Linked DNA regions of Coturnix japonica. The protein of the gene in region 2 purifies or fractionates together with the protein of the main gene of each other region. This does not show direct contact. Links are inferred from orthologs where the notes say so. Each region holds a gene or a part of one and is shown on either strand. Other genes may lie near its edges. The genes, in order: KIFAP3 and KIF3A.

The links.
Region 1: the proteins of KIF3A (region 2) and KIFAP3 purify together in Homo sapiens (co-immunoprecipitation; 9 studies listed by BioGRID and IntAct, counting the BioPlex papers as one, with this or other methods). This does not show direct contact. The link is inferred for Coturnix japonica from reciprocal best matches to the Homo sapiens genes KIF3A and KIFAP3.

Annotation. Positions count from the first base shown.
Region 1 is NC_029523.1:6,579,112-6,590,081, forward strand, and holds part of KIFAP3 (kinesin-associated protein 3), read right to left. Parts: intron 5,338-10,970; coding exon 5,148-5,337; intron 1,678-5,147; coding exon 1,578-1,677; intron 1-1,577. UniProt on the Homo sapiens protein: Involved in tethering the chromosomes to the spindle pole and in chromosome movement. Binds to the tail domain of the KIF3A/KIF3B heterodimer to form a heterotrimeric KIF3 complex and may regulate the membrane binding of this complex.
Region 2 is NC_029528.1:1,220,660-1,231,629, reverse strand, and holds part of KIF3A (kinesin-like protein KIF3A), read right to left. Parts: intron 10,705-10,970; coding exon 10,530-10,704; intron 9,505-10,529; coding exon 9,403-9,504; intron 7,827-9,402; coding exon 7,755-7,826; intron 5,967-7,754; coding exon 5,958-5,966; intron 4,946-5,957; coding exon 4,789-4,945; intron 3,888-4,788; coding exon 3,707-3,887; intron 3,395-3,706; coding exon 3,284-3,394; intron 2,580-3,283; coding exon 2,454-2,579; intron 2,027-2,453; coding exon 1,973-2,026; intron 1,835-1,972; coding exon 1,766-1,834; intron 1,580-1,765; coding exon 1,455-1,579; intron 960-1,454; coding exon 911-959; 3' UTR 1-910. UniProt on the Homo sapiens protein: Microtubule-based anterograde translocator for membranous organelles. Plus end-directed microtubule sliding activity in vitro. Plays a role in primary cilia formation. Plays a role in centriole cohesion and subdistal appendage organization and function.

The DNA.
Region 1 (10,970 bases), on a different chromosome or scaffold from region 2:
AACAAATCCCTGACATAAGGTTCTTGTTAGCTTTAAACTGTAAGCATAAAAATACCCTAGAATTATGTTTTGGTATGGATGAAATGTACACTATATAACACATAAAAAGAGCCTTGACTTGCTGCTATTATTTTTAATTAGGGTCTCTAGCACGTATGGTTTTACCTTCCAACACCAATTCAGATTTGGGAAAAGGGAGGGTCTGACTCTTGGAGCTCATGGGACTGGCAATTCCACGGCTCATGCCTCAGAGCAATAATGCATTTTACATTAGCTCTAAGCATCAGGAAATCCTGGCTTCTGGCGCCAAGAAGTTCAAAACAGTAATGACACACATCTGAAAACTAGGATTCGCCGTCCGACTGCCAGTATCTATTCTATCAAACAATTCAGTCCTGCTCTGTTACAAAAGGGACAGAATGCTTGCAGCAGTGCACGCTGTTTCCAATTAGCCTGTGTCTGGACTGCAGATAAACCCACGGAGCAATCACACACACACACACACACACACACAAAAAAAAAAAAAGCTTTCCTAGAAAACAGAACTGTAATACGAAATCTGAATGTTTACAGGGGCTATCAACAGCAGGCAATTACTAAGATCATGGTTAGCCCAACTAGGTTTTTGTCTGTCCTCTGCTTTTGAGGCAGGTCTCCAAAACCCCTAGAGACATTACAGAGAAGTTGGAAAACTGTTTATTTTAATGAAGGATACACCAGGTACTTCTCCTGGATTTTAAGCCAGTATCCCATTCTCAAATGTAAGCTGCACACAAAGGGTTGCACACTGATCTGAACTTGATCCTTTCTGAATATAAACACTATTTTCCCTCCTCAAGGTAACCCATCTTTTTATTTTGTTTTCCTCTTGATTTAAGATTTCAGTTATTTTAATTTGTTCCCAGAAACGCTGCCATCATTGCAGCCTCACTTAACATTCAGCTTTCTGGTGCACTACAGGTAGAATGAAGAGATGGGTGCAACCTTCCCACTGCCCCTTGAAAACTACAAGAAGCCAAGGCAAGAGAAAAAGCTTTTGCTTCAGCTATGCATAATGTAAGTTGCTCATATTTTGCAAACAGTGACTTGAGTCGTAAGCATTAAAAACAGTGTTAACACTTTGGAAGGTAGCAACTCCAACCACAGTTCTGAGCACGTCCAAATAGCATCGAGTTAAACTGAATCCTGTGTTTGAAGTATTTCCTAATAGACAGTACAGGTCAATGATGCTCTATAAAAGGAGTTTCCTAAATCTTTTACAATCTCCAAAGAAAAGGACCCTCTTCTTGGAAATAGGTCTTTTCTGCTTTGAGCCTGTGGAGAAGTCTGCTTAGAAATGCAAACAGCAGGGAGGGAGAGGTCATTGACCAGTGGGATAACAAAAAAAGAACACCTCCCAGAAATCAACCCAAAATGGCATTTTCAGCGTCGACGATTTCCATTATGAGAGCAAGAACTGAACACAAAGCCCTATAAAGAAACCTGATCAGCCATTTTACAACCCTCAGGGTTCGGGTTCCCCCTTCCAGCTCAGGATGTTCTAAGATTATGCACATTCCTTACAAACAACAACTTACCTGCTAGAGAAGGGATGCTGCCCAACGAGGTCTCCATTTTGAAGATGATAGTCACTGAAGAAGTCTGGACTCACCGCTCCATCGGGTACCATTAGGCCATCTATAGGAATAAGGAAGATACAGAGACTGTAAGAAGGAGCACAACTTCAAAGCAAGTAGGCAACATACTCTGCGCTGGTTTGTCTCAGAAATTGGTTAACAACATGGAATATTTCTGGGAGGAGCGTCAAGCAACAATAATACTGAGAAAGAGAGACTTTGGCTACAACAGAAAATGCACCAGGACTCCACAACTAGCCTACTGCCCTAGAGGACAACTGCACCTAAGGAGAATTCTCTTACCTCTTCATCTTATGGTCTGGAGAGACTATATCAAGACCCACACTGTCTGCCCCATCAATGAAAGTGAGCACAGAGGAAAAAGCAATGAGAAGGGTCAAACACATGTCTATGGTAACAGCACAAAAGCAGAAGAGCAACAAAGGTTTTAATTCATCAAGACTCTGCCTCTCACCACAGTATCTTTTAAAATTGGCTAAGAAAGCAAATGAGAAACACCAACAGGAAAGCAGCTTCAAAATCAACTCTCTTCCGACATCCCCAGTTTCAGTGTCATTTTGCTACTTATCTCCTAAAAGAGTGGTCTCATGTGATGCAACCACAAAAACAAGTACTACTGTTTTCTTTTGCTTCCTTTATATTGAAGGCATCAGCATACAAAGATGTAAGGCCAGTAGTACTCCTTAAAGGCTTTACAGTCTCAGGGGTTGACATCTTCCCCCATTTACAGCAGCGTAAATCCAGAGCGTCTTTGAAGTGAAGTCAGTGAACTGACCCCAGCTGAATGAGAGCCCAGCTTAACTCCTTCCTGTTCCCAACCCCAAAACTCACTCCTTGTTAATATTAAGGGCACAGTTATTACCTGGTAATATCAGGCTCTCACTAGGTCAAACAATTTAATTAAAACAGAGCCTGTCTCGGTTTGTTTCCATTATTGTATGAAAATGATCCGAGCTTGACAGAGCAGGAAGCAGCCCAGTCAGAACCAGGCAGAAACAGGTACATTCTGATGGACAATTCAATAGTTTACCAGAGGAGAGAGATTCCTAATGACTAGGAAGTTAGAAATGCCATTCCACTTTAAAGTAAGAGAGATAAGACACAGGGAATCACAGGCCACTCAGCTTAACCTCTGCGGTTTCAAATCCACTAAAACTGCCTGTGCAGGAAGCAGTGGAAAGTTACTTACAGACACAGGGGCTTAAAGATGACGACTCAGGCATTCAAACAAATCTCCCCATGCTTTATGAATTCACCTGATGGTTTTTTGAAGATAATATAGTGACAAATGATGAAAGGAATAGAATTGACACATCTAGATTTCCAACAGACGTTTGATGAGGTGCTATGGAGATTCATTGAGGAGATACTACCTCATGGGAAAGTGACCCAATACAATGCTACAGATTGTAAATGGAAAATGCTAGCCACAGTCAGACTATGTTCTAGCAGCATAAGATAGCTGTAAATGGCTGTATTCTAATTGTATACATGTGCGTACAGTATGTGAAAGGGTATCACTTGACAAGCAAATATTGTGGCACAGATCTGTATTACTGTCTTTCAGCATATTCGGATAGACACAAATTCTGTGATAGCATAAGAACGACGAAGGGCCATAGAAAAGGGAGGAAAGCTATGAATACAGGCCAAGATTTCCTATCTGTGTATTTTTCACATTAGCATTTCTACACTTGGAGCGTTTCATAGGGAAAACAATCACACTAAGTGACTGTGTCTTAAATGGGTGAGCTTAAAACTTAATAGGAAGTTTATCTGCTTTCAAATACCTCACTTTTTTCTATCAATAAAACAAGCGTTATATTTTCACTGTGAGGCCAGAGTTACCACTGCTTAAAACGTCTTCACTAAGATACAAGCCATAGCGCTCAGACTTATGGCTCCCATGAATTTAAATGAAAAAGGAAGCACATGGATACCATCAGCAGCATATAATGCGATTACAGTTAAAGGACCATCTGTTGTTATGTACGTTTCAACACAAATTAGGGTTAAGTACCTTCGAAGCAAAGGAGACACTGAACTCAAAGGTGATTCCAAAGATTCTACCAAGTTTTGAGGTAGGATTAGATCACTTTTCAAGAGATATTCGACATATTATTCCAATAGGAACCCACCTTGTCAACAGCAAGCTGATATTGTTCCAGCTGAGGACAGATATGTACTGTGTGAGCTATCAGCACAGGTCACCAAAATACAAACATGTCACTTGTGGCTGCAAGAAGAGCTATTATTTTTCCTCATTTCTGATCAACTAATGCTCCATCTTTCACAAACCCAACTGCCTACTCCAACTGCTACAACCATCTGTAGACTTTTTAGAGAAGAGTTATGTCCCTTCTGGCCCCATCTCGAAGGTATAAATCTGGCAGAGTTTAGAAGCACGTCCTTATTGGCACTTGCTGGAAGGAACCTGAGAAGGGAATCTGCATTTTGAATATATTCCCTTAGTTTTATACTTGCCAAAACAAAAGCGTTTTACAAACATCTGCAGAACATATCACTGGAAATCCGCCCCTCCTTACTGGTCAAGTCGCAATTCCAACACAAAAATCTTTGTTCAGATAACATTAAGCACATAACATAAATGGTTAAAAACCAGGGAACTCACTGCTTACAGTGACACTCCGTTTCCAGCTCACACTGTTTGGAAATAAGTGGCCCTGTGAAATGAAATGCTGCCTGTAAAGCGGGCACCACAACAGGCACACTGTCACGCCTCCAACTCAGGAAGCCTGAAGACGACTTGGTGTAATTAGAGAGCCTGGTACCATACTACACATAGCTTACACCGCTCATCTTGGAGGTCCAAGTACTGTGAAATAAAGCTGCAGGATTCAAAAAGGAGAACAAAAAAAGAAAAGCCTTACCACTGGAGAGGCAAGTTGCTACGGCTGACATACATAGCCACACAGATGAATAAGAATCCTTGAATTCTGATCTATTTTGAGAATTACTTTTTAAATGCTATGGAGATACTGCATATTAATTTTCTCACAGTAACTGCAAATAAAGCTGACTGATTTCAGTGGTTTTGTTTGTCTTATTAATACTCCTGCAAATCCATCCAGAGTCAGAGTTTTGTGACTCATGCTTCATAGCAAAGGACTGGACACTTGTATGGAAAATTCAAAAGCCACACGCACATACACAGCTATGCAGGAGTTTGAAAAGGAAATAAAACCACAAGCTTGAATGCGTAAGCCAACCCCTAGTTGTTGAAGGCTATGAAGACATTAATCCAGTGGGTAACTTATTTCATGAGATCTCCCTGCAGGCTGATACTGTACCTGAAAGGGTTGGCAAAAGCAACCCCTGGAGGGAGGACACAAATCCCCAGCAAATATGCATCAGCACTGCTCCCACTGACACACAGAGACAGTTTTACCACTGCTCTGAGCATTCTTCCTACAGCAACAGGCCAGATCCTGGTTTCAAATACAAAGAGAGGCAGCTATCCCTGCGCTGAATACCAACGTGTGCTCTTACCTGCGTTGTAGTAGAGATCAGGTCTTTCCAGAATATCTCCTTCATGGATGTAGGGCTCAATAGGATCGTCCCCATACAGATACTGCTCACTGTCATCCATCTGCCGACTCTCCACCATCTCCAGCCACTGAGAGTTGTGCCATCGAAATTTCTCACTCTGGATTTTTTTCGCCCATTCCTCATCATATTCCTGTTAGTAAAAAAAAAAAAAAACCAAACCAAAAATGACCACACAAGAGGCTGCGATGAAGAATAGACAAAGACCTGTTTGGTTTAACAGGAAATAGCAGAGGAATTTAACATCAGCAAAAGATTCAAGTTTCAGCACTCACTGACTTAAATCTTTTAAGTGTGTAGAACGCTTTGAGCAATAAAGGCAATATTTTCCAAACACCAGGCCTCGCTCTGGTTTTGTACGTGCAGCAGCAGTACAATCTTCCCTTCACGGTCTGTAACTCTGCACTGCCCAGAAAACTCTCCTGCTTTGAGCAAGGGAGTTCAATCATCATGGTCTCCCCACCTGGACCATCAGGAAGAGCCTATTACAGCCAATTTTCAGAGGGTCTGCAGGAATAAAACACTAACACTGGCCAAATACTGTTTGATCTCATTAGACAAGCATTCATTACAGAATCATAGAATGCTTTGGGTTGGAAGGGAGACCTTTATGATCATGTAGTTCCAACCCTCCTGCTAGGCAGGGACGCTTCCCACCAGCCCACGCTGCTCACAGCCCCATCCATTGAGCCTCACCTTGAATGCTGCCAGGGAGGGGGCATCCACAACCCCTCTGAGCAACCTGTTCTAATTACTCAAAAAGAACAAAAAGGGTAGTGATAAAACCAGTTAAGCCTTTGTTTCATGAGCACCTGAAAAACAGGATTTAGTTCTCAGCTTCCTGACAAACTTCAAAACAAATTGCTACTTTTAATATTGAACACCCACAAAATTGGCACACAACATTCATGAATACAGGAAGCAAAGACAAAGTCAGAGAAGAACTTCTCCAGAATGCTGAGGGAAGCAGGATATAGGTATAGACTACTATGGAAACAAAAGGTAGTCACGAAATTTTGGGCTGGAATAACTGCACTCTCTGATGATGTGATATTCAGTGTAAAGGAATATCAGAAGGAAAAGTCACAGCAGTCAGTGCAATCAGCTGTTTAGAAGGCTCCTCTAAGCAAAACAGACTGCCTGGGCTGTTGTTTACCTATAGACACATGTGAACATATTAAAGTTGCAGGTATTATCAGTTTAAGAAGATGCACAAATAATGCACAGTGGCTATTACCTTCTTTTAATCAAAGAATTGTGACCGAGAACAACATTCATAACCAACAAAGCATTTCTATTTGTGGGAAGAAACACCCTGTAAGGCAGGTCTCAGCACTTCCACCTCACTGTCTTCTAACTGAACTCCAAAACAGGCAGAAATTGAAAACCATTTCTTACCTCAAGATAGTTAACATATGCTCTAGACAGGCTGCCCTCTGAGATCTACCTGGAGCACTTTAAGGTTTTTAAAATCCATTTTACTTAGCCCAGAAGGGAAGATTGTTCATACAATTAACAACATCTTGGCTGCAGAAGTAGTAACTTCTTAAACTGCTCCAGCTAGACATGCAAAAGCAGATCTGTCTACAACCCGAGGTCAAAAAATAGCAGTGAAGACAGAATAAGTTGGTTTAGTAGCTTGGGGGTTAAACTTCTAAAAGCCCTATGGACTGAATTTGAGCTTTTAAACTTACTTGTCAGGATACCTTGTCTTCACTGCTGTTAACCTGACGTGGGTACCACACTGTCTATCTAGCCTTTGCCTTTTCCACCCTTCTGACTGCTGATAACACACACACAAAAAAAAACCAAGCTGGTTCAGTCCTTCTGGCAGAGGATACCCCAACTCTGCTAACCAGCCTATCTCAAGCCTCCAAGATTCCACAAGGAATCACGTTGCATTGTACAACCACAAACCATTATGCTATGGCAGTGGGTCTTAAAACCGTTTTACTTGGAGGAACAAGAAGTTTGTTTCTCCTGGCTTAGAGCAGGAGGTGAATTCCTTTTTGATGGGACATCCATGCACGCTGCAAATCTGGGGCCATGATCAGTCTGTGGTATCATTCCCTATTTCTTAGAATCCGTGTCTGATCAGCAGCGGTTATGTGATCTTAGTAGTTCCCTTCTGCACCATCCAGGCACTCAGGCAGTTCTGTTCAACACCTGCTCTCATGCACAGCGCCCACGCACAGAACAAGCATCACCTGTGGGATCAATGGAGGCTCCCAGTCCCTGTTAGCCTGCAGCAAAATTCCAAGCTCCTGTCAACCGTACAGTAATGCGGTGTCCTTAGGGAGGAAAACAAAGCAACCAACCTCACACCTCACACCGTGTGGAAAAAGAACACCTCATGCTGTTTCTGCTTCTTGATATTTCCCCACACACACTTCAGCTCTCAATTAAATGGAAATCCCAGAGCAATCCCTGGGAAAGGAAGGCTCAGCATCAATGCCTATAAAATGATCCAGGGAAAGAAAGAATGAAAGCAGGACTTTCAGTGCCACCTGACAAGCCATCTTGGGAACATCTACTTTGCTGCATCTGCCAGAGCTAAAACGTGGACTATTATATCAGCTCCCAGCAGTTGTGAATTACTTACAAGCTTTAGAGAAACACCTTGTAACTGCCAGAGATCACACTGTAGTCTTAGCAAAACTATTCTCAGAAATCACAATTGCAAAGGGGTGGAAGAAAGAAAGAAACCAAACAAACAGTAAATTAGATTAATCCACGGGAAAGCTGAATTCCTTTCACATTACCTTGTTTACTTCTAAAAGTTCCCGAAAGCAGAAAGGGCAGTAGCTGCATCTCTACTTCACATTTACCATCACAGAGCTTTGAAAACGGGTTAACCTCCCAGAAATTACAACACAAAGGAATCCCATTTAGCCAACCCCACTGCCCCATTCCATGCTACCGTTCAAACTGGTTGGACGTTCCCCCACAAATAGACATTAACTTCGTATCCTTCTGGAAACAAAACAGTTAACACCACTTTTTTTTTAGAAAGCAACAAGACTGAACACTCCTATGCGTTCTACATTCCTCTCCTTACACTAGGAGGCTTCAAACCTGCTGGTATTTCCCCTCAATCATTCATAAAGTTTTGGAAAACAGGATGAGCAACTGACTGGCAGATTATTGGTTCTGAGACTGAACACAGTCACACATCACTTGCAAATCCCACGCTACCAGTTCCAACAGACAGTCTGGTTTCTGGGTCTGTAACCTGCACTTCGCCATGAATGACCAAGAACAAAGAGATGGCCACGCCATCAATAGGATCACTGAGGAGCTGCATCAAGGGTTTCATTCTGGCAGCAATCCTAGAAAAGGATGATTTGCAGCAATCTCCAATGATTTACATAACCTCGACACAAAAAAGTTCATTTAAGTACTGCGTGATCAAGGGTACGTCTGTAAATTTTCCACAGAAATGTGCAGAAACACCACTGGGTAAATGATTAATGGAACAACATCAGAATGGAAGAAAAGCTGTAAATGCAGAACTATGGCCAAAAGGCACAAAGAAACCAAATTAAAGAAACCAAATTAAAGAAATTTAGGGCAAAACAATTCCCTAAAACACAGTAAGGCTTCCAGTAATTATATTTTCAGCTATTAAAAGTGCCTTCTTGAAACTAAGGAATGCCTGCAAAAATTAAACCAGAAAACTAAACACTATGGAGACAAACACAGCTTTGTCCCCTCCAGTGCTTTTGAACACCAGTCCAGCAGAAAAGCAGCAGATGGAATGTGCCCATTCTCCACCCCTCACCCCGAATACAGCATGGGCAGCAACATAAAAGGAGGAATCCTGAAGGTTGATTTTATTCTCTTTGGAGCTCCCTGACATCACCGTTTTTAACATTCGGTTTCCATAAATCCCAACGTGACACGGGAGATGTATGGTTTGACTCCGCAAGGAATGTGCCATCCTTTTTGAAGTTCTGCTTCCAACTTTGTTTACTACTGAACCATTGAAATATTATGAAGCGTTAACTGGCCTATTATCAGAGCGTGTCTGTTCCCTATCAGGGGTCCCTTTTGTCACTGGCTTCCGTCACACCTTGTATCTGATTAACACACTATAGGATAACATAGAGCTACACAGATCTGCTTTGTGTTCTCTCACAGCTGATGAAAAACAGATTTTCCTTTTCACTTTAATGTGGTTGCCCTTTAATTGGGTCTGTAATAGGGTTCATTTGATGCGATTCCTCATACTAAACTAAAACTGCTATACAGTAAGCTGAATGCTCGTTACATTTAAGGCCGTAGTCGGTAAAGTGATATGTTACATTCTTCGTTATTTAAACATTCCTAAAACATACAGTTTACAAGAAAGGTCAAATTAACCACTTTTTTAGTTAAGGAAAGATTTATCTTGTCTAGCTAACCAAGATTTAGGCACGTAATTTAAAACTACACACCTCTATAAAGCAAGGATAGAAACAGATGGTATGGATCACCTTCTGCGGGCATCTATGACGCCTACCTTGGGCTAAGTGGTACCAGAGGGCAATTCACTGACAGGTCAAAAGGAATTCTTCTATAACTTCTGCTTGCACAACCTCTCTGCAAGTAGCCTCATCACTAAATATATGCTGATAGACAAGTAAAAACCTACGAAATGAAATTAATGGCCAAGTAGCAAAAAGAAGAAACATTCACGTCCCCTAAGCTTAGGCGTCTACATTAAAAACACTTTGTCTTTTTTCCTTGAAAAAATTATAGGTATCTAATTGGCCAACTGTAATGGAAGGAAAAGAGACCACTGGTTCAGCTCACCTTTCTAGCTTCTGAATCCCAAAGAACAAGTACCAATGCTCGAAGGAAATCTGCATGGGCACACTTAGGTGAATACAAAAGAATCAGAACCCACATGCCCTGTTTTACACTCCCTGTAGGGTGGTTATTTGTCTAGTCCATGTGGAGTCTTCCTGCTGGATGCTCTTTGCAACAAAAAGCTACTGGCACCCAAGTGGACTGATTTCTAATTTCATAATGTAGAAATTGAACAATGAAAATACAAGTCAACAGTACGGCCAGCAGTCCCACATCCTACTTGCTTCTACTGCCCACCTCTCTGCATTCACGACTGTTAGAAGATAACAGAGGTACACAACAGCATGGAAATAAGGAGCCTTGACAAATGAAGGTAGAAACTCTTTTCCTGGAGTGAGTACAGCGCACACAGAAGGAGGACACCGGGCTGGAGTCAAAGGTTATCTGTGTTCAGAATACAGTGCCTACTCAAATAAAGCCCATGCCAAATCCCTGTGGTCTGGTCTTCCTTGATTTTCAGAGCACTGGTCAACATCTTGAACAGCTGGCCCCAAATCCCTGAGGATTCACAGCACATTCCTGCCTCTTATGTGAACTTCCAGCATCTGCAACATGGAGAACTTGGGTCACAGTGTCTGGTTAATAGACAAAGATGCAAACTATTCATTAACACAGCTTTCCACCTGAGAAATATCGCTTGGCTTTCATTACAAGTATTTTGGGAAAAACAATGAGAGCTGGAAAAAAAAACCAACCAAAATACCACACCTTAAAAATACCTTAAGCATATGGACATTAGATCACAGTGCTGTAGCTATATCTTTGTTTTTTTTACTTCTGCACAAAGGAAAATAATTCACTCTACATCATAAAGGAAATAAGATGGTACAGTGGGCCTGGATTCAAAGCTGTAAAAAAAAAAAACCAAACAGGAAATCTGTCTGAAAACTGGTGAGTGGGAAAGCTCATTAGACT
Region 2 (10,970 bases):
TGGCCAGGGATGAGACAATGGAGCCATAGTGCTCAGTCCCTCTAGTATTAAAGCCTTCCCCTCAAATAATGTGTGCTGTCCAGACTACAACAAAACAATGCACACCAATTAAAACAGCTTCCAGCTCAGAAGCATAAAAAGCAGCCAAAGCAATGCAGCAACGCAGCATCTTAAGAGGAGGAAGAGTTCTCTTATCTGTGCATCAGCCCTCACTCTCCACGTTGCCAGCAGATCACACAAATAGACGAAAATCAAAGCATTAGACTACTAGTGTTGCACTCAAACAGAGTATGGTCCCTTCCCACAAACCTCAGACTTATGTAGTTCTAAGTACTCTTCTACTCAACTACTTTTTGTACAGCAAGACTGCAAATAAAGAGAGTTGTGTCTCAAATACACAATATGATCAGCTTAATAACTACAGTGAAATACTCAAATAAAAGGGCTTGATGCTCTTAACTCAAAGGTTTGCAGCAACCGCATCCAAACAGATCAGTGCAACAGAAGACAACAGTGAAAGCTGCCAGTTATGTGCAAAGCAGGACACAGATTTACCAGCATTAAGTTTCAGGATTCCAGCAACCATTTTGAGCTATTATGTCTAGTACTTGAACACATATAGAATCCTTATTTTCTATACATTTCAAGAAAGATTACCAACAACAGTTCCCTGCACAACACATTGTTTAACACATGGAATTTCACAACCATAAAATATACCAGTTTAATATTATGTTAATATAACATACAGTTTACAGGCAACTAAGGAAAAATACATATTTTAATTAAAGCTCCATACCAGCAAGGCATGGATTTCATAGCCACTTCAAACTGTCCCATCTCAAATTCCATATTCTGGCCAAACCTTTCACACTCACTGATTTTTACGGCAATTCTGAACACGTCACACCTACTGCAGCAGAGAGTCAATGACAGCGCTTGGCTTTGCAGAACGTTTTCTGTTTGGAGAGCAAAAAGGAAAAGAGAAATAATACCACACACATCATTATACTGTCCAGGAAAGACAGGGACCAGCCACTTCTCAGGTCACAACTACACATCATTTTCACAAAGGATCAGGAACACCCATGCTGAAATCTTCCCCAACAGACATAACTTCCTAGTAATGAAAGTATATGTGCTGTCAGCGTGTCACTGGTTAAACTGAACCAGCAATCAGTGAAATAAAAACAAGCAGCCAGAAGAGGGGAATGTGAAATCAGGAAATCAAACACCCCCCACAGACCAAACTTTCTGGACAATATTTTAGCACAGTAAAAGATTTCAGCCTGGTTCTACTACACTTGACATCAGTAACCCTTCTATCATGCAGAATTTTAGCATATTGCCTTAGCCATAAGTCTACAAACATTTGTCTCAAGTTTGCAGGCATCAGCTTAAGCCTTCCCCTGGGAAAACTCCCCATTACATACAGATACTCCAAAGTTCTTCACCTTCGACCAGTCTTGGGCCTGGATCTTCCCTTTGAAGTCCTCGGCCTCTCAAGCTTCATCAGAGATTGCCTCAAGCTTTCTTCAGTGTAAGCTAAGTAAACGTGGGAAAGGTCCACCTCAAAGGGCTAAGGAAAAACAGCAAAATATCAGAACTGTTTGGTACACTGATCAGTTGCTCTTTTGTAACACTAGAAAGACTTCCAACAAGAAAACTGAAGTTGGACAGTTTTCCCATGAATACAAAGTGGTAAACACAGAAAGCAGAACTTAGTCCTACAGAGTTCAATACAGGCTTATTAAGAGTTACTCACATCTTTTTCTTTCTTGTCCAGGACAGGAGTCTGTTTCCTCATATTGTTTCCTGTATATGCAACACATTTCTTAAAAACAAGAAAGGTCAGTTAGTGAAATGCAGTCGGTTTTACTGAGCACTGTACAGCTTTATCAGTTTACTTCTGGGCTAGGTTAAATTCCTCAAAAGCTTATGCTAACATTAGCTTGTATGTAAGCTAGCTTACCAGCTGCCATTCTCCAATGTCTTCATTCCAGTGAACATAGTTCTCAATCATTTCCTAGAAAGAAATTAGAGTTACTGTTACAGAACTGCACAATCTACACTCCAGATGTGTAGACAGGTTGCTTAAGAACAGCCTTGACCACTCCAATGTATTTTTAATCCAGACAGCCATACCACATTCAAAACCCCTATTTTGTAATCTGAAGACTAAGGAAACTACAGAAAAACATCACTCCCAAGCTGTGCACAACAAAGTTCCCACTAAAGCATGGATTTATCATAAGTCAATGCAATCATAATAGCAGTAAGAACATTCCACTTATGTACATTCGTACTACAGCTTAACAGAGAAGTGTCAGACAAGTTGACTGTCAATGCCTTTGGAAGCCAACTCATTCCATTTGTTGATGGACTAAATAATGCTAGGGGGCTAACTGAATACTGTATACGACCACATCAAAGGCTTCAGCTCTCAGTAGTACCTGGTAGTCCTGAGGAATGAAGTTGTCTATGATAAGCATCTGAAGACGAAGTTCCCTGCTCAGCTGCCGAATATTCTCCAGTAAGCCTTCAATCTCTCTCTGATGCTCTTGTTGCAGATCTGCCATCTGTGGACAAAGCATATGAGAGGTCAGAATTAATATAAGACACGATAACAACTTAAAAGAACTGTTTTCTGCCTGTATGTTTTAGAGAAATGAAAGCAAACTCTAGTTAGAAGTACCAGAATATTTCTCTCAAGAACAAACCCTCCGAAACATTCTAGCTCAGAGATGGTTAAAAGCAGTATTAAGTTCTTGGCTTCAAAAAAGATGAAATTAGCTGTCAGTCCAAGTTTTACATCAAAAGCAGGCAAAGCGTGCAAACAAATTCTGTATCTGGCAAGATCCCAAGGAAAATCTCAGCTCCCAAAGATAAAAAACATGCTTTCATGAATCAGGGAGCCTAGATACCAGCCAAGTGACATACTGATTGAATGTGACTGAGAGAGAATAAGAGCAACATGCACAAAAAGCAGCAAACTAAGAGCAGATGTGGATTCGAGCAGCTGCAAAGCAGGAGACTGGACTGCCAAACAACTTTAACTTTGCTCAGAAATAACCAATGGTTTTCCTTGAGGAAAAGCTCTACAATGTACCCCTGTGCAGATCTGACACAAAGCTTAATTTGTTCTTTAAAGTTGCGTAAACCGAACAGACAACACACTAGTATTTCTAAACCTGTAGCACTCAAGCCAGAGAGACAAAGTTGATGGCCTGCTCTTTCCACCTACAGTTCCTCCACCACAAGCTGAATGCTTCAGAACACTGACCTCTGATTTTGCAGCCATAAGCATGGTCCAAACTTTCTTCAGCTTTTTTGTTTTTCCCTGTGCTTCTTCCTGGAGGCTGGTATACTTCTCCTCAATGTCCAAGCGTTCTTGCTGTAAAGCAACATTTAACAGATATCCACACATTAGCATAATCAAAGAAAATATTTGCAGCAACATGAACAGGAAGGGAAGCTACTTGGACAAAACAAAGCATTTGCCAAGGGCATGGATACCTGGCTTAGCCAGGCTGGCTGACACTCACAATGATTTCACTGTCCTGCAGGTGAGCACTGGTTATACATGCCTCTAAAATGTTTGATTTCTACTGTGCTTCAGAGTAGTGCCATATTTCATCCACACAAAGAGGCAAAGGCAAGTAACACAGTGTCCTACCACCTCCAGATAGCTGGGAGTATAACCCACCTCCTTCTCCTCAAGTTCCTTGCGAAGCTGCTCTGCTCTCCTCCTTCGTTCTTCCAGCTCCATATTTGATTCTTCTAGAAGCTTCTCTTGTTCTTCTGCTTTTGCCAGCAAGTCCACTCCTCCTACAATCACCTTCTTCTCCAGCGCAGACAGTTTCTCCAGAAGAGACTGGTGCTCTTGTCTAGAGAGACAGAGACAAGTAAAGCTGGGAACTTCCTGTCTCAAGGTGCTCACAAGGCAGCCAGGTTCAGCTCAGTTTTTACAGCCCAGACAGCACTCATAGGGCTTGAAAAACTTGCCAAGCTGCCAAGGGTTTAAAGTAGGGGTGAGGCAGTGTACAAGGATTTCCTTAACTCCAGGTCCCATCACTTTCATGCAAACAAAACCAACTCAGCAAACAAGTCTCTCCTGCTGCAGTTTCCCTCTGTCAGGGGCTGCCAGGCGCCAGTGGTGCTACCAGGATACACAGGGTGCTCCCTCCCTCCCCAAGGGCCCAGCACAATGATGCTGGGATTCAGACATACTGCAACAGGTTGTAATGGAACAGAAGCAAGTGAAACGAGGTCTCAGCTGTGCAGCTGAGAGGTAAGCCAGGAATGTTGAGCAGCCTCTGCTGAGGGAGAGACTGTCCGACCTGTATAAGCAAATGTGATCTCAGCAGCTCCTCAGCTCCAGCATGGAGATCACCTACACACAGTAGCATGCCCACACCACGGGCACGAGCTGTATAAAATTCACTTTGCTATACAGCTACTGCCCACTAGCAAGCAGTACAGCAGTCCTGCTGCTCTTCACTAGTCTTCAGAGTTCAGAGTATTCATTTTAAGTTTCTAGGCCATCTCAACTAGATAAGGCTAAGAGAAGAGTGGTGGAAGAATAATGTTTCTTTTTGCTACCTGCTCTAATCTGCAAGCAGAGAGGAAGCTCTTCTTTCACTCTGATAACAGCAAGAGCTGATGTTCAGCTTACACAAAGCTTGACTAGCATCTCACTATGCATCTCCACATATTGGTATCTGACTTGTAGATTAAGGGAGGAAAAACCCACAACACCGCAAAAACTACTCAGAGCAGGGCACTCACTGAGCTTTAAGCAAATCTTTTTCTCTCTTCTCCAGTTCTGCTCTGGCTTTATTTCTTTCTTCTTCTTCCATGTCAAGCTTAGTTTCAAGAGCTTTTCTCTCCTCTTCAATCTTTGCTTGCATCTCTACCATCTTATCAGGGGAAACTTTCTTTTTGCCTTTCAAAGAAAGGGGGGAAAAATATCACAAAAATAATACGGTCTCTGTATCACAAGTTAAATTAAATGATTAAGTGCAGTTATCAATGTCAGAACTCACGGATTCTGAGATGAGCACATCTCAGTCTTTAAAATTCCATTTTAATGCCTGCTTATTTGCCTCCAGTACTTACAATGAAGGAGTACTATAGAACTATGTACTAGAATATAAAAGCCTGAACAAAATGCATGAAGAATACTTGTGGAAAAGAAACAACGGCTAAGGAGAAGCTTGAGTTGGAATCTTGGATACCTTAACTACGTAGTAGAAGGAAAAGAAAAGACTGGAATCCAGCCTGTACAGATCTCCCCAAATCCATAAGTCTCTCCCAAGTTTTACGACCCCCCTTAATCATTACAAAATGACAAACCCTTCACTTTGTTTCGCTCTTCTCTGGACAGGAGAGAATTATCCACAGAAACCAGATGGCTAGAAACTAATAGAAGCTATCTAGAATTAAGAGGCTTTCACAGTGATGTAATGCATATGGTCAAAACACACTTGAAAATGTTGTTGCTCACTAAAAGGCCTCATTTCCTCCAGTTTTCATGCCATTCACTTTTGTTTATATTCACTTATAACCTCCAGCAGAGGCAAAGATACACTGGCACCTGTAAACATGCATGCACACAAGAGCACTGTAAGGACTTCAGCGCTACAGCAGAAAATATCTTGGTTTCCACCTGCTAAATTTAGGAGCTAGGTACTTAATACTTATTTCTGCATCTGCAGAAACTAGTTAGTTTTCAAGTAACCCAAACTCAAAGTTTTATTTCTCAAGTGCTACGCAGAGATCATCAAATGAAGAGGTGAACCAGATAAAGGTTTCTAACATATTATTACACAGGCCTGTGTATTCACAGTTTTGGAGAAGAGTGAACTACGCTGAGCTGGAGGACCCTTTAATGAGCTCTGCAATTGTATTTCAAGGAGATGAAAAATCTATTAGTGAAAAATCAAAATTACACCAACCTGCTTGATCTTGTATTAAGAGAAAGGAGAAAGCACGTCACAGAGAGGCAGCGCACACATAAAAAGGAAGAAAAGAAATATATTATTGCTTGATCATTTGGAACAAAGTTTATCAGCATCAGAACAGAGCAGTGATTTTACATGCATGTTTCTAGAGTAGAAAACGGGATAATCATCACTAAAAAGTGAAACTCCATTAGAGTGAATATTAATGAATCGTGATCTTGTGCTAAAGCACAGAATGTTTCTGTAACGTCCTTTGCACATCCAGGATAGTTTCAACTCACTCCTGCATTCTCCTGCCCATCCAATGCAATGCAGAACTTAAGTGTAACATTATGAGCCTGCCGCAAAGATCATGCCCTAAGAAACAGATCGTAGATTTCTTCTTGATTAACAGACCTAGTGTTTTTTCCCCTTCCTGAAGGCAGTCAATTCTCTTAAATTACCTGCAAAATCTTAGCACACAGACTTAAGTTTTAACCAAGTTAATCCAAGCCAGTTTTTTGCAAGATAATGACAATTGCACGTAACTTATTAGTAGGTTAATTGGCAGTAACTGATGCTTCCATAGAGGTATAGAGCCAGTTTTGGTTATTTAAGCAAATGCAGTAAAAAAAGCAGGTCAGGGAAAAGATGAAAGGCGCCACATGCAAAAGGGCTACACGTGAGGACAGTTAATAGCCCAAACCACACAGATGAACCACAACAGCTCAGTGCAACTTATACAACATCTTCAGACTTGAAGGAGATGGACTGATCCATCCAGCACCACATCAGTGGTTTGCTGTTAACTGTCCTCATCCAAAGAGGTTGAAATATTCAGGTTTCAAGCAAGCTTTGAAAGAGCAAATTTGAAGCAAGCAGGTTTCCAGGTGTAACACCATTATCCATAGGTCACACTTAGGCTGTGAGTCCTCTTACCTGTGGCCACACTTCCCCTGAGCTGATGCTTTATACCAAAACAACTAGAAAAATTTACATAGGTATAACTATACAGCAGGACCTCCCAGGTTCTCCACACGCAGAAGTGAGGATTACATCTACACAGTATAACCACAACAACTGGTCAAGTCAAGGTCCAAAATATGATTTTTTTGTTTGTTTGTTTGAATAAAAGCATACAGTGATTGTAAGTTGTTCAAAGAAACAGGTTCCTTTCTTTGACCAGCAGCAGACCAAACCTTCCTTGCTGCTAGAAATCAAGACCCTTTGTTCTTCTCAACTATGCCCTCCTGTGGAGACCAAAAACTTAATGTCATGAGGCAGGCTGGACAAAAAGCAGCAACCACTGCCCAGGTTTTGGTTTGTTTTTTGAAGGTCTGCCAAAATAAAACCAAAGTGTTAACGAAGTTTTCCTTGCAAGCACAAAACCTGCATAGCTTAACTGCTGACTGTTCAATCATTCACTCCAAACTTAGTTTTAGAAAGGCAAGATCTAATGCAGTGTAACAGCTTCCAAGAAGAAAGCTGCTCAGACTTCTTTTTGACATTTTCGAGGGATTGTTTAAAAACAGGAATTGCAAACCTTCAACCTAATGTTTCCCAAATGTCCTTAAATCTTGTTAAATAAGCCTACTGAATTGCTCTCCATTCCCATGTCTTGCTGACAACGTGCACATCAAACCACCATCGCAAGCGTGAAAGCAACAAAGGAAAGGCATGCTTTAGCTGAGTTGTAAGTTCAGGTTTATTTATGTTCCAATAGACATAGCAGGGAAGAGTGCAGCATTGCAAAATGAAATGCACAGATCATGGAAAGGCCAAAGCTTAAAGGACTTAAGAGCTCCCACTCACTAGTGAAGGACTTATCCAGAGGTTTCTCTATGACAGAGCATGTGGAGTCTGAACTACTGCTGCTGCTACTGCCTGGAAAACAGAAATGAGTCCCACAGAAAAAACCAGAGAGGAAGAAACATGCAGATGGGAAGTTAGTTCTAAGGAAAAGAAACCCAGAAGAAATGGCAAAATAGTTTTAAAGGCACAGAGTTCTCATTAGGAAGCATTTGCTAGAATCCCTCCCAGACTCAGCTTGCAAAGCCATCGCTTCCAAGCACAGAATGGCATGCTCAGAGAGACAGTTCAGTTAAAACCCATCTTAACAAGCCTACAGCTTAAAATCTCATGCCAAGGCTGCTTCCATTTCAAGCAATAGCACAGAAAAACAGATTGCAGTGAAGGTGGCTGTGGATATCTACATTAATAGAAGATTTGGTGACCAGGAGTTTTTCCACTGTTATGTACATGGCAATGTACATTTAACAGTCTAGAAGAGAGAATCAGCTTACACAGGGACAGTTACTATGCAAGCTCCTGCTGAGCACAGCCTTACTTAGGGAACTTAACTTCCAAACAGGCTGCTCTAGCTAAGTGACAGCTATTTCCCCCCTATTCTTTTCAAGCAGTACTTTGAAGATGGCTTTCTCTTGTGGTGGATTTGGGTAGAAATTATTTCTTGATGGATTCCTGCTTCTAGAAAGAACAAGTGGGGAAAAATGAAGTAAAAGGGTGTATTACAACCAACACAAGGTTCGGAAGGTGTCATTTATGATACTGCTTGGACAGATATCAGAATAAAGGGTAATCTATTTAATGCAGGAATGCTGTTCAAACAGATGTGAGTACCTTAAGACAGGAAGGCAGTTTGAATGACAGCACTTAATGGACAAACTGGAAATTGAAGCACAGCACTGGGCTTGACTTCCCTACTCCCCACAAATAAACATAGTTCCCATGGGTGTAGCAGGCTCCCTACAAGCCACAGTTCTCTATGGTACACCATGACCTGCAAGTCTAGGTTCAGCAGCATTCTCTGTGGCTGACACTACATGCTAGTTTATCACAGCGTAGGACAAAGCAGACTTTGTCGTGGGATTTCCAGAGTGCTCCCAAATAAGGGATGTGTAGCTCCCATTCAGCTTTTCAGCTAGCACACAGACACCCCCAGAGGTCAAGTTTTTCCTCTATCAGCATAAAACAGGATGCCAGAATGAAGCCAGTTACTGAACATCCACAGGACAGATGAATCCTTTGCCTAAACCACAGCCAAAATCCCCATCTAGCCATGAGAAAGGCTATAAAGGAATACATCTGTCTACTACTGATTTTTGGTGTCTTCCTCCTCCCATTTCAGTGAGCAGGGGAAGTTCCACAACATGAGTCACAAGCCATACGCAGCCACCTTGCGGCAACCAGGGAACCACCACAGAAGATGATGTTACCACAAGCACAACTACCCAAGTGGAAGCAAATACCACACAGGATTGGAGCTGTCCATCTACAGAGAGAGCACCAAATAGCTATGTTTCTAGGGAGGCATGATAATTGCAGCGGCAGTAGGGCAGCCCTACAACTCCACTTCTCCCTGCCTGGCTCTATAGTTCCTGACGCTAGCTGCTGGGCAAAAGGAAATTGGTAGCACTGACAGGATTCTCTTCTGCCTTACCCCGACGTTTCTTCCGCTTCTCCCCATCTTCTCCAATCTCCCCATCGTCCTCTTCATCTTCTTCAGATGAAGAACTTGTCTCAGATCCAGATATCTCTTCTCCTAGAAACAGAAAGTATGCTTTGTGATGCACTTTCCTTCATCGGAGCCTTCCAATAACATTAACTTGTTATTGTGACAGCAGCACTTATCTGAAACCAGCTTATGAGTAGCTGCAGAAGTCAATAACTCCCAAGGAGATAATTTGCAATAGCTTTGGAAAATTAAAGAAGAGTATTGTAAGCCATATAATGCTGCAAAGTCAGTGTGTATAAAACTATGGTAAGTATTCTCAGATCCTCGTAATGCTACATTGTTTTCTATTCACAGTACCTTCAGTTCCATCAGAGACAGAAAATGGCCAAATAAACAAAGCTATTTGTTCCACAGTTTAGTAATTACAAATTTAAGAAGTCACCCTCAGCACACTAGGGATGAAACAGCTATGTCTAGATTCCAGTCCCTGAAGAAAGTATTACTATTTCCTGCTTCTCCTTAGTGGTAGAGATTCCAAGCAGTAAGCCTTGCTGAAGTTACTGCTAAAGCTATTTTGTACTGTGAGCATCTTTGGAGCTGGATGTTATACCAAGGGCACTATTCAGGAAGAATCCTTTCTGAAAAATCCTTGAATGCTGGTAATCATATCACAAGCCCATAAAGTTCCAAAGCTTAAAGAAGCTTCTTGTTTCTTCTATGCACTGATTAGATAGTCAGCCTCAGTTCTAGTCATACAAATTAATTTCATTTTAGTCCTAATTGCATATCTCCTCAAGCAAAGAAAACATTTAACTTTCGTTATCATGTCCTTTAAATACCTACACCACATCCAGTCATACCCAGAAACCCCTCAGGTTCTCAGCACACTAAATTCAGTCTACAGTCCATCACCTTATGCTTGTGCCAAGTGCCACCTGGTGGGCAAAGCCAGGCCCTGCACTGGGAGCATCCTGCTGGGTCATCAAGGCCAGAATAATGACTTGCAATCAGCTACTGAATTCATATGACATTTTCAAATAGTGAAGACTTCTCACACAAGCAGAATGAGTTATTAGTCTAGAGAGAAATACCTGGTGGAAGGGGAATCTCACCTTCTTCCAGTTTTTTCTTAAGCTCTTCAATTTCTTTCTGAAACTGACGAAGCAAAGCATCCTTGGGGTCTTCATTAATCCTGGCCTTGTTCTTAATGTTCTTGGCTCGGTTTGCATACCTGAGAGTGCTGATAGTCTCATCGTAATTGTAGTCTGCTGGACCAATGTTTGCACACTAACACATGGAAGAACAAGTTAATGGAGCGTAAAGAATCAGAGTCCATGACAAATGATTTCACATGGACCCAGCCATAGCTCCAACAATATGGTACTGCCACCCTCTCCCAAGCTTTCCTGTTGCTTCTACATCGTGGTTGCTTTAACTACCTAAGCACAGCTGTTACTTGTTCTCACACATGTATTTACACCTTGTTTAGATCCTTGCCTGTGCATAGAAGAGACAGCAAAAGCATGAAAAAAGTTTTCTCAACTTCAATGCTC